3 linked regions of the Arabidopsis thaliana genome follow. The protein of the gene in region 2 interacts with the protein of the main gene of each other region in a biochemical or structural test. Each region holds a gene or a part of one and is shown on either strand. Other genes may lie near its edges. The genes, in order: LKP2, PRR5 and ZTL.

Region 1 (3,756 bases), on a different chromosome or scaffold from region 2:
TAGATTTACTCCATCTTCTCGCACCAGAAACATGGAGGGGAACAAGAAACAAAAATTACGCTTGATAGCCTCGTTTCCTCCAAAATCGAGGAGATGATAGATTTTGGAGGCTATCAAGAAACAAGCGTGGCCTATCGATTTTGGAGGAAACGAGGCTATCAAGCGGAATTTTTGTTTCTTGTTCCCCTGCATGTTTCTGGTGCGAAAAAGATGGAGTACATCTATCGGTTGGTTTTAATTTTCCTTCACTTCTAAGTAGTTCGTCTCTTCCTCTTTTAAGAAGTCGAAGATCACTTCTTTCCTGCCAGTTATTAATATTTAGTTTTCTAATATCCTAGAGTATATGTTACAAAACCAAATTCATTTGTATTATTGAGAATGACTAACTGTTTCATTCGCTCCCTCTTGTTCATTCACTCCCATCGTTTCATTCGCTCCCTCCTCTTCATTCGCTTCCTTGTGATTTTCATCCAAGGACTCCAGCTGTTAAATCAAGTAAAGTGAGAACCAAATTCATTTGTATTAGAAAAAAAAAAAAAAGACAATTCACATTTGCATCAGCCGATTTACTGGTTTTCTCCGGCAAAGTCTCGACCACCTCAGTGACATGTGAATGGTCAACCCATCTATTGCTTTCATTCCACTTGTTTGGTGGCTCTCCCATCTCCAAGGTCTCGTCATTCCTAATCGGAAAACTATTTAGTGGCTCTCCCAAATAGTTCGGTTGTATGCGATGGTGTTAAAGCAGATGCATGGAACATGTGCAAATACCATACTCAATTGAGAGGTGTATTCCTTGGGCAATATAACTTTGCTATATGGCTGCCACTTAATCTGAAAAAATATAATCTAAGTATTTAATATAGAACAAATGCATATGACAAAGAGATGAAATTTTGTTAGGTACCTCATCTTCCTTCATGTCTACAAGCATCTCTTGATAGTGTCCCCCACTTCTGTTGGCACAATTTTTGGTATACGGTTTATATATCTTTGCCCACTCAACCATTAAAGGAAAACTGGATGGAAATAGTTGTTGAAAGATAGTAAATCGCTCTAATGCAAATACCTACACGAAAAAATAAAAAACAATTAACATTATACAAATAATCAACATCAACATAATTAGTTTTTGTTTCACATAAAAACTTTACTTGCAGAGCAAAGACAAAACCGCAGAAAAATGTGGTTTGACCTTTAGTAAAAGCCTTCTTCCATTTGCATAAAGCGTCTTTTAGGATAGTTGAAGATGATGTCTACCCTCTAAACACACAAGATTATATGGCAGACACCACCCAAAACCAAGGCGTAACACAAACACGTAACAGTGTACAAACTTCTTCTAGACGTGCAAGGCAACCTCGAAGAAGGTCTATCATTGAAAGCGTGATCGAAAATAGTGGAAACTTTATTACGGAGTATCGTGAAAGACGGGGTGTTGTACTTTTGTATCAAGATGTTATTAACGCTCTTAGACGTCTTGATGTCCCGAAGCGTACACCATTCTGGCGGGCTGCAGTACGATGTCTTGCTCAAGCCAACTATGCATCGGCTTTTGTTGCTCTAGAAGAAGAGGAAAATATTGATTGGCTTGAAGCTATTACTGGATTCAGCAAAGACGGAGAACGTTTCGATGAGCAAGAATTGGGTTTTGGATGCAATGGTTTCATGATAAATTCAAGTTTCTAATGTTTTTAAATCAATAAAACTGATTCTAATACACTCATTTGGTAAAACCAAAAAAATCTCATAAGAAACTTACAGGATATTTTGTGTAAACCGGATAGATAAACTAAACCGGTAAGGTAAAATTAAGAAACCGGTCTGGTTAAAGATGGAAAAGGAGAGGCACTGAGAAGAGCCGAGTCATCGACCGACCGAATCATCTCTCTTCTTCTTCTTCTCCTCCTCTTAGAAGTGGGCGGTGGAGACTTCCATTACCTACAAATATCAGATTCCTCTTTTCTTCGCTCGATTCCATTTCAAAATCTGTTCTTCTATCTCCTGTTCCTGAAGAAGACGATTTCTGGGTTTGTCTAAAGTTTGGAACTTTTTTCCTGTGGAGACTTCGATTACCTACAGATATCAGATTCCTCGATTCAAAATCAAACTTTGTTCTTCTGGGTCTCTTCTCCTGTTGCTGAGGAAGAAGATTAGTGGGCTTAAGCTTTATTTTGTGGGTGTGTATGCAAAATCAAATGGAGTGGGATAGTGATTCCGATCTCAGCGGTGGAGATGAAGTGGCGGAGGATGGATGGTTCGGTGGAGATAACGGAGCGATTCCGTTTCCGGTAGGTAGTCTTCCTGGCACGGCGCCGTGTGGGTTTGTGGTCAGCGATGCTCTTGAACCTGACAACCCTATCATTTATGTTAACACTGTTTTTGAGATTGTTACTGGTTATCGAGCTGAAGAAGTTATTGGTCGAAATTGGTGAGTTTGCTCTTCTTGACTTTTACCCTAAATTTGTGGTGTTGATTTTGTTTTACTGTAGCGAATTTTGTCTCATTTGTGGTATTGGTACGATGTTACTAGAAAGCTTTGTTGAAAGCTGTTTTGACAGAAAGAAATTTATATTTCGATTCATTATTATGGTTCTTGTTGATTATGTTAGGTATTATTAGCTAGAACCATTTTGGAATCATGGGTTGGTTATTGAATTAGAAGTTTGTTGTGGAGGAACTAAGCTATAATGTGAGGTTCAGTTTGTAATGTTTCCTATGTCTGTGGATTAGTGTTTAGGAACTCGAACTTTGATAGTTTTTCACATGTCTTGATTGGTTTATGAAAGCCTTGGGATTATTGATTTTTGTAATATTGAATTGTAATGCGTTTTTGTCTAAGTATATATGTTTCTGTTGAATATGTTTCTCTTGGGTTTTAGCGGCTTTTGATCTGGTATTCCATGTTAATTATGCATATAGTTTAGTCTTTGTTCAATACTTGTGTGTGAGGAATTGTTCGCCAAAGTACTGTATCTGTTTAGTTGTTAGTTATCTATTCGATGAATTGAATAGGAGGGTCTTGTATCTGATTTGTGCTGTTGTTTTTTATTTGGCAGCCGTTTCTTGCAATGTAGAGGGCCATTTACTAAAAGAAGGCATCCAATGGTAGATTCTACAATTGTAGCGAAGATGCGACAATGTCTAGAAAATGGCATCGAGTTTCAAGGCGAGTTGCTCAACTTTCGGAAAGATGGATCTCCCTTGATGAACAAGCTGCGTCTAGTCCCTATCCGTGAAGAAGACGAAATCACTCATTTCATAGGCGTTCTCTTATTTACAGATGCAAAAATTGATCTTGGCCCATCTCCTGATTTATCTGCAAAAGAAATTCCTAGAATATCTCGCTCATTTACTTCTGCTTTACCAATCGGAGAGCGTAATGTTTCTCGTGGACTCTGTGGGATATTCGAACTGAGTGATGAAGTAATAGCTATCAAGATATTGTCACAGTTGACTCCTGGTGATATTGCATCGGTTGGTTGTGTATGTAGGCGGCTCAATGAGTTGACAAAGAATGATGATGTGTGGAGAATGGTCTGTCAAAACACATGGGGTACCGAGGCAACACGTGTTCTTGAGAGTGTTCCCGGTGCAAAAAGGATTGGTTGGGTGCGACTGGCCCGAGAGTTCACCACTCACGAAGCAACAGCATGGAGGAAGTTTTCAGTTGGAGGTACTGTTGAGCCTTCTCGGTGTAATTTCAGCGCATGTGCAGTTGGGAACAGGATTGTTATCTTTGGCGGGGAAGGTGTG
Region 2 (3,756 bases):
ATGGAACTGTACTCATGCGGGCTAACGGAACTAGGGCTTGGGGAGAGTGAAGCAGGAGCCATTGCAGATGTATAAGCTGTGTTGGGATCTCTGAACTGTATATTGTTGATAGGGGTTGGCGTAGGGTATGAACTCTGTCCCGGCCAAGAATTCAGCTGATTACTAAACGGTGGACCAGGTGAGTCAGCTCCAGTGTAAAAGCTGGTGTCGTTTCTTCTTGGAGCATTTGGAGGCGGTTCAGATGTATTGTATTGGTTCATTAGCACAATGTTATCATCTTGACTTGCTGCAACATTCTTTCTTTGATCAGTAACCACTGGGGAGGCTGAACATTGTGTCTGCAACGGCCTGTGAACGTACCTGCAACAAGAACATAACACACACAATCAGCAGAAAGAACGACAACTATTGAACGATTAATAGAAAGAAGAATTGAGAAATTAGACAACTCACCGTGTGAAAGCTGAGGCACTAGAAGGATGAAGAGAAGGCCGGTCTCCAGAAGATTGGTTCTCAGAAGCATTAGGTCTTCTCAGAGAAAGATCAAGCTCTATCCGAGATTCGTATTGAGCAACACTTTCTTCTCTGTTACGTCGTCCAGTTCTTCTAAACGATGCTCCCATGAAGTCAATGGCTTCTGCTTGCTTACTCTGCAACTCATTTGCTAGAAGCCGTGTCTCATTAAACTGAGACTTTGCGCACTCCATCTGTACTGCGTCTCTCGCACTAACCTCCACGTCTGCGCTCTCACCTTCCATCTCTGGTCTTGTACACGAGCTCTGGGCATCACCACCATTCCCACTCACAACATGATCGTCTCTCTTTCCGTTCGAGTTGTTTGCAGACGCACCCTCGGCTTTCTGCTGTCCAACACTCTCATTCCATGGAAAGCTATCAGGAGCAAGTGACTGTAAAAGATAATCAAAACCAAAAACAAATCTGAGAACTCAATCATCTTTTCAAGACAACGAAATTTCCCAGAACTTATATAAGAACGGGTTTAAGTTGTAGAGATAATTCATCACACATAAAGCTTAAAACAAAAGATGGATATGAAACATACAGTTTGTCTTCTCCAGACATGCTGCCAAAGATTTCTAAGCTCATTCCTCCTCAACGGCTTAACAAGATAATCAGCCGCACCTTTCAACATACACTTATACACAGTATTCACCGAGTCCTGTGTCGACATCACTGGAAAAAAAAACAATACATAATGAGCCAAAAAATCATTTCAAAACGATGGAAGAAAAAGATGTATATATCAACGTACTTATAACAGGAATGTTCTTGCAAATATCATGCTCCATGATAAGTGTTAGCAGAGCATATCCAGATATTGAAGGTAGATCAACCTCTGTTAATATCAAATCAACACTTTCAGGCTTTCCTTTTAGCATCTCCCAAGCTTTTAAGCCATCAGGTACTGCAGCAACTGATCAATACACAAAACCAAACCACATTAATACAAATCCTTTTAGCTTGTTGTAGAAACTAAGCGTTGATAAAGATTTCTATATGAACACAAAACCGACAAAAAAATCGTTGACTTTTCTAAATTTGACTTTGAATTGTAACATTTAGCCGCACGCGAATCAGATTCAAAACATTAGCATCTCAATCGAATTCATAATTCTCAGATTCTATACAAACAAAACCTAAATCTCAAGCATTGAAACCAGAAACTAACCTCTGTAACTACATTTCCTGAGAAGAGCAGCGATAATCTGTCTAGTAGAATCATCAGCTTCAACGAGCAAAACTCTAAGCGCGATTTTCGGGAGAAATCTCTCCCACTTCACCAAACCATCAACACCGGCGTCTTTCTTCCGAATCTTCCGACGTGATAACTTTCCTCCGCCAGCTTCAGGTGCTTTAACCACCGTCACTTCAACTACTTCCTCGCTACTAGTCATTATCACAACACAAACACTTAGCTTTGAAAAACCTAAATCGATTATTGAAGAAGAAGAAGAAAGCTCCAGAGAAAGAGAAACAGTTACAAAACAAATCAAAATATTTGTGAGTGGAGAGATAAATGAGAAGAGAGCAAAAAAAAGAACTTTATTCTTTCTATAATAGTGTGGAGAAAAGAAAATATCTAGAAAAAATCTAGCGAATGTTTTAACGGTTATGATTGAAAGTGGGTGGCGAACCGACCATGATCTAACGGTTGTGGAAAGAGTATTTGGATTTGAAAAAATATCTAGTAGAATTGGCTGACGTGGCCACGTTTGCCACATCAGCAAAATACTGTATACGAGACAAAAGAGATCCAATACGCCAAATAACCTTCTTTTAAGAAAAAATTGGTGTGGTGGCTAGCCTTTGGTTTTTCTATGTGGTTCATATTTAAAGTTGGATTTAATTTTTTATTATACTTTACCAAAATATTTATTGCAATTGATGTTTATGTATTTGTGATGGAGAAATATTTAGTGAATTTCTTGTTTATTTTTCTTTTAATAAGAGATCAACACTAAACATTGAAACTATTACTTATTTGATGCTTCTAAATTTTACTTTTATTTTAAAATGTATTTTATATTATTGTTCAGACATTTTAGCTTTTGAGTACCTATAAAAATCCCACTCGTGACTTTTGGGATAATACCAAACCCAAAAAATATCTAATGCTAGTGGGAAAAAGTATCTATACAAATTTATCCAAAAACAATTGTATTATTTTCTGTTTGGTACATAGGTTTGCAATTTGTTTATTTTAAAAACAATAAGGATATTTCAATTTTTTTTCACATAAGAAAATCAAGGACACATGGTATAATTTATTTTCTGAAATAACAAATAAGAACTTTTTGTTAATGAATTAATTATACATATATTTCAATATTATTTTTTGGCACAAAAAACATTTGCTTACACCAAATGATCACTGGTGCTAACTAATAGCAAATGTCATATATTATTTTATATTTTTTCGGCCAGCCATATATTTTAGTCACGAAATAAGAACACTTTAATATTGATTTGCATTAGAAAAGAAATGGAACAATCAAACAAATGAATATCGATCATAGAGATTCATAGTTTACCAAATTTTTATCAACATTTTGGTTTTTTCTATTGCTACTATTTTGGTTGCGTGGTGGAATAAATCAAATGGAACATGCACGAGTCAAGAGTAGGGACAAAGGGTGATGAATTTTAAAGTAATTTTCCGCGGCTAGATATTTTGTTGTTGGGTGGGATTAGATTAGAGACACTTGTTTAAAAACCTCGTGGTTCTTTGGTGGATAGGAATATGACACGTGTATGGTTATTATCTGACACAGTCTTTCACCTTTAAATGGTAGCTGTCACTGTCAGAGACTAAATATCTTCTTTTTTCCTTGTCTCTTTACGCGCCCGCGAGTGTAATATATCTCTCCTACTCGCTCTCTTGTAACAAGAGTCTTGTCCTACGCTATGACTTTCTTTTTTATTGACTGGACCCTATGGTTTTCTTCTCTTAATCAAACTTAGTAAACTACTAGGTAATAAAAAAGGACAATTAGTGTAATGATCAATCAAACAAATGAAGAAAATGGTTAATAATAAGCCAGGTGGTTTAGTTCCTTGTACTAGCACTTCATGCGTTAAACTGAGAAATAGGTTTAGGCCGGCGTGTTTTATTGACAAAAGAAAAATAAGTGCTATATAGGAAAACTATGTCAGTGACAAATTTTTATTGTTGTTAGATGGGTTTAATTAACATTGTTTTACTATATTGTTGCTGGTCACATAATTGACAGCATA
Region 3 (3,756 bases), about 15 Mb from region 2:
CTAATACCCGTGTTGTTTCACTTCCCCATGCATTCTGACAAACCCTTCGCCAAAGATCCTCATTCTTTGTCAGCACATATAGCCTGCGGCACACAGAGCTAACAGATGCAACGTCTCTTGGTGTCAGGCGTGACAATATCTTCATAGACACAACCTCGTCACTCAGCTGGAATAACCCACACATTCCTCGGGAAACATTCCGCTCCCCAGCAGCTAAAGCTGAGTATATCCCATCAATTGACTTTTCTTTTGTTGAAGATCCAAGAACAGGTCCAAGGTCAATGTCTGTCTCGATAAAGAACTGGATTCCAATTATATGGGTAATAGTATCATCGTCTCCATAAATAGGAGTCAACCGCAATCTATTCATCAACGGAGATCCATCTTTCCTAAAGTTCAACAACTCGCCTTGAAATTCAATGCCCTCATCAATACATTTTCTTATCTCGGAAACAACCATAGAGTCAACTAATGGATGCCTTCTTTTAGCAAACGGTCCTCTACATTGCAAGAAGCGGCTGCAGAATCCGAGAAATTAATTAAGAAACAATATAAGACCAAAAACAAAATTTATCTCCAACTTACTGATGCGGAAAAGCAATAGACAAAATATTTGGCCGTGCATGTAGAGACTGAAAAAAAAAACAAATACACCAAACAAGCATAATTATAACCTAACCAGATTTTCATTCTGTTCAAGAATAACAACTATTTGAACTGATCAGCTCCTCCTGTAAGATCAAAGCTTATTAATAAAGGAAGCTACTAGCACTTCTCTCATGGAAAACTAACACACAACTAAACGCATTGGACTTAGCCTTTTCACTGGTTCACTGCACATCAACATTGTAAAGAATTTATTGTGTTCGCTACGACCCCGAGAAACTACACAGGGATAGCTCGCTTTATCTCGGCATCTATATACACTTTCAAGTTTCCTTAACATGCGGAGCAGCTGAAACAGCTCAAAAACAGCCATGAGAGCTCGATTAATATGAAAACTACAATCACTGAATAAACATCTGAAGGCAGAGAATACTTAGGCACACACAGAGACTCCACTGAGTCTTCTCTGCCATTTGGCAGAGACTCTAATGATTATCTAACAATAGACATATCTTTGTTTTCTCTCCACCAAAGTATCCATCCATACTAAATCTAGTGATCAATAGAGTGTCCTTCAGATTACCATCATCACAAACATTCCTCACCTATCCTCAAACTAAACGGACCTTAATCAAACTCCACCAAGTAGCCAAAATTTGGTAAAGTGAGCCAATAACCAAAAATAGAAATTCCTCGCATCAATTAGAACACTAATCACAAAGATAACAAAAAAACAACTAACCAATTTCCTCCGAGAACTTCCTCAGCACGATACCCTGTAACCATTTCGAAGACGGTGTTGACATATATAATAGGTTGGTCCGGCTCAACGGCATCAGTAACAACGAATCCACAAGGCGCCGTGTGAAGCAAATTCCCAACGGGATATGGAATTGGTCCACCTCCGGGAAAAAGACCTCCCTCTTCATCATCCGCCAGTGACGAAGCATCATCGGCGCTTAGATCGGAACCACTGTCCCACTCCATGAAAATTCAAATAGTTACCAGACTGATTTCAGTCGCCGGAGATTATGAAGACGGCGATTGAAAAACAATCCGGCGTGAGATAATCGGAAAATTTTGGGAAAAGGAGATTTTCGGGGGTTGAGAGAGAGAGAGAGAGAAGATGGTGGACAAAGAAACGAGTGGTAACCGTCGAGTTTGGTGGAAAAATCTCGGCCGTATGAGTTCATTCGAACGGGTCGGATTTTATCCGGGTCCGGATTTCTCTGTCGGGTCAAGTAGATAAAACCATAAAACTCCCCTTGATTTTTGGGAAAAATGTCATTAAAATCTCCAACTTATTGAAAAAGTTGATTTAAATTATCAACTTCCAACTAAACGAAATAAATATCAAATTTTTGTTGACTTTCCAAATAAATACCAAACTTTCGTATATATGGTCATATTAGGTATAATATTAAGTAGATTAACATATTGCGTTCACGGAGTTAATTTTCTGTTAACAGATCCGTTAATTTAAAACGTTATTGTTTCCTATAACAAGAAAGCGACCTCGTTTTATTATAACGACCGAATTAAATTCCCAAATCCAATCTTAAATCTCCAAATCAAGCAAAATTCTAACCCTAAATCTTCATATGATTTGAAATTGGGATTTAATTGAGCATTTATGACATAACGACGTTGTTTTATTGTTATAGGGAATATTGTCGTTTTCAATTAACGAGTCTGTTAACAAAAAATGGACTCTAATAACAGGGTCTGTTAATGTCATACTTAATATGGCTACTCGAACAAAAGTTTGATATTTATTTGGAAAGTCAACCAAAATTTGGTATTTATTTGGAAAATCAACAAAAGTTTGATATTTATTTCGTTTCGTTGGAAGTTGAGGATTTAAATCAACTTTTTCAATAAGTTGGGGATTTTAATGACATTTTTCCCTTTGGTTTTTAGACTCTCTTTAGCTGAGCTGAAGCTTATTACTTTCCAAATTTGTGGGCTCATGTCTTACAATAAAGCCCATTACAATAAAGCCCATTATAGTCCAGTAAATGAGATTATGTGACTGAATAGTATGAGTTTCGTAATAAGAAGACGCCATAAAATGGAAAAATAGCAAGATCTATAATTATAGTTACGTAAATGAAAATTTGTTAAGGTTGTTGGTTGCTAAATCTTTTCTTGAACCGTCTCAATTATCAATTGCCTATCATTTAATCTCTTCTGTAATGTTCCTTTTATACGCAGAGGACCAAACTAGTTACATCAAATCAATAGATAGTTAGTTGAAACAAATAACTTCTCGTAACTACTGGTTAATCGAATCGGTTCGGTATATCATAGAATCATAGGTGCAAACAGACTTTTAAACCAACATCAAACAGCTGAATTGGAATTAAGATTTAACCCAACTTTAGTGTTTTATATCAACAATAATAAGAATAAGTTGTAAGTACTTATATATAAGTAGTTAAGTACTGTTTTATATCACCAATAATAAGACTGTTTTATAAGCCTAAGTTACCGATATGGGGCAACTATCTTATGAACTTTATTTGAAGGTTATTATCTCATGAAATGAATTGACATACTCAATTTAACAAAACAGGCTTACCTCGTGTTATTAATTATAAGTTTCGTATAAAAATAATAAAATTGATAGTAAAAGTTAAAACAAAATGGAGAAATTGTTTGTAATGATGCTAAATACAATTTTTTTGTATTATATTTCCCTTACAAAGTAGCAAATTGGTCAAAATTCTTCGTCACCTCTTTCTTTTTTCCGACATTCTTCACCTCGTTCTGTAAAACTACTAAGTAAGTAACTAATACAATGCCATACGACTAAACAATATCTTCGCAAATAAAAAGAAAAAGAAAATATTTCTTTTAAATTATGGTATTTAGTTTTTAACAAAAATATAAAATATAGCGATTTACATTTGTATTACTGATATAAATAGATCATATAATTTTGACATTAAAGACTTTAGAAAAATTATAATTGTAAATATTTTTTTTGTGTATGACAATTTAACACATAAAAAGGACGTGAGAGAACAAGTGGGTTTGGTCGGTTGTTTTCTTTACACTTTGCAAAATTCTCTATTCATTCATATCTTCGACGAGATGCTAAAATGCCCCCACTATAAAATTCCTTTTTCTTTATACAAATTTTGAAAG

What was found.
Region 1: the proteins of PRR5 (region 2) and LKP2 form a complex in vitro, tested with the Arabidopsis thaliana proteins (one study listed by BioGRID).
Region 3: the proteins of PRR5 (region 2) and ZTL form a complex in vitro, tested with the Arabidopsis thaliana proteins (3 studies listed by BioGRID).

What each region holds. Positions count from the first base shown.
Region 1 is NC_003071.7:8,195,686-8,199,441, reverse strand, and holds the start of LKP2 (LOV KELCH protein 2), read left to right. Parts: upstream 1-1,958; 5' UTR 1,959-2,186; coding exon 2,187-2,431; intron 2,432-3,059; coding exon 3,060-3,756. Other genes in the region: AT2G18920 (uncharacterized protein), read left to right, coding at 1,282-1,689.
Region 2 is NC_003076.8:8,356,631-8,360,386, forward strand, and holds the start of PRR5 (two-component response regulator-like protein), read right to left. Parts: upstream 1,917-3,756; coding exon 1,691-1,916; intron 1,436-1,690; coding exon 1,274-1,435; intron 1,195-1,273; coding exon 1,064-1,194; intron 909-1,063; coding exon 454-908; intron 361-453; coding exon 1-360. UniProt on the Arabidopsis thaliana protein: Transcriptional repressor of CCA1 and LHY, thereby controlling photoperiodic flowering response. Involved in the positive and negative feedback loops of the circadian clock. With RVE8, forms a negative feedback loop of the circadian clock.
Region 3 is NC_003076.8:23,239,434-23,243,189, reverse strand, and holds the start of ZTL (Galactose oxidase/kelch repeat superfamily protein), read right to left. Parts: upstream 1,764-3,756; 5' UTR 1,594-1,763; coding exon 1,349-1,593; intron 519-1,348; coding exon 1-518. UniProt on the Arabidopsis thaliana protein: Component of an E3 ubiquitin ligase complex that plays a central role in blue light-dependent circadian cycles.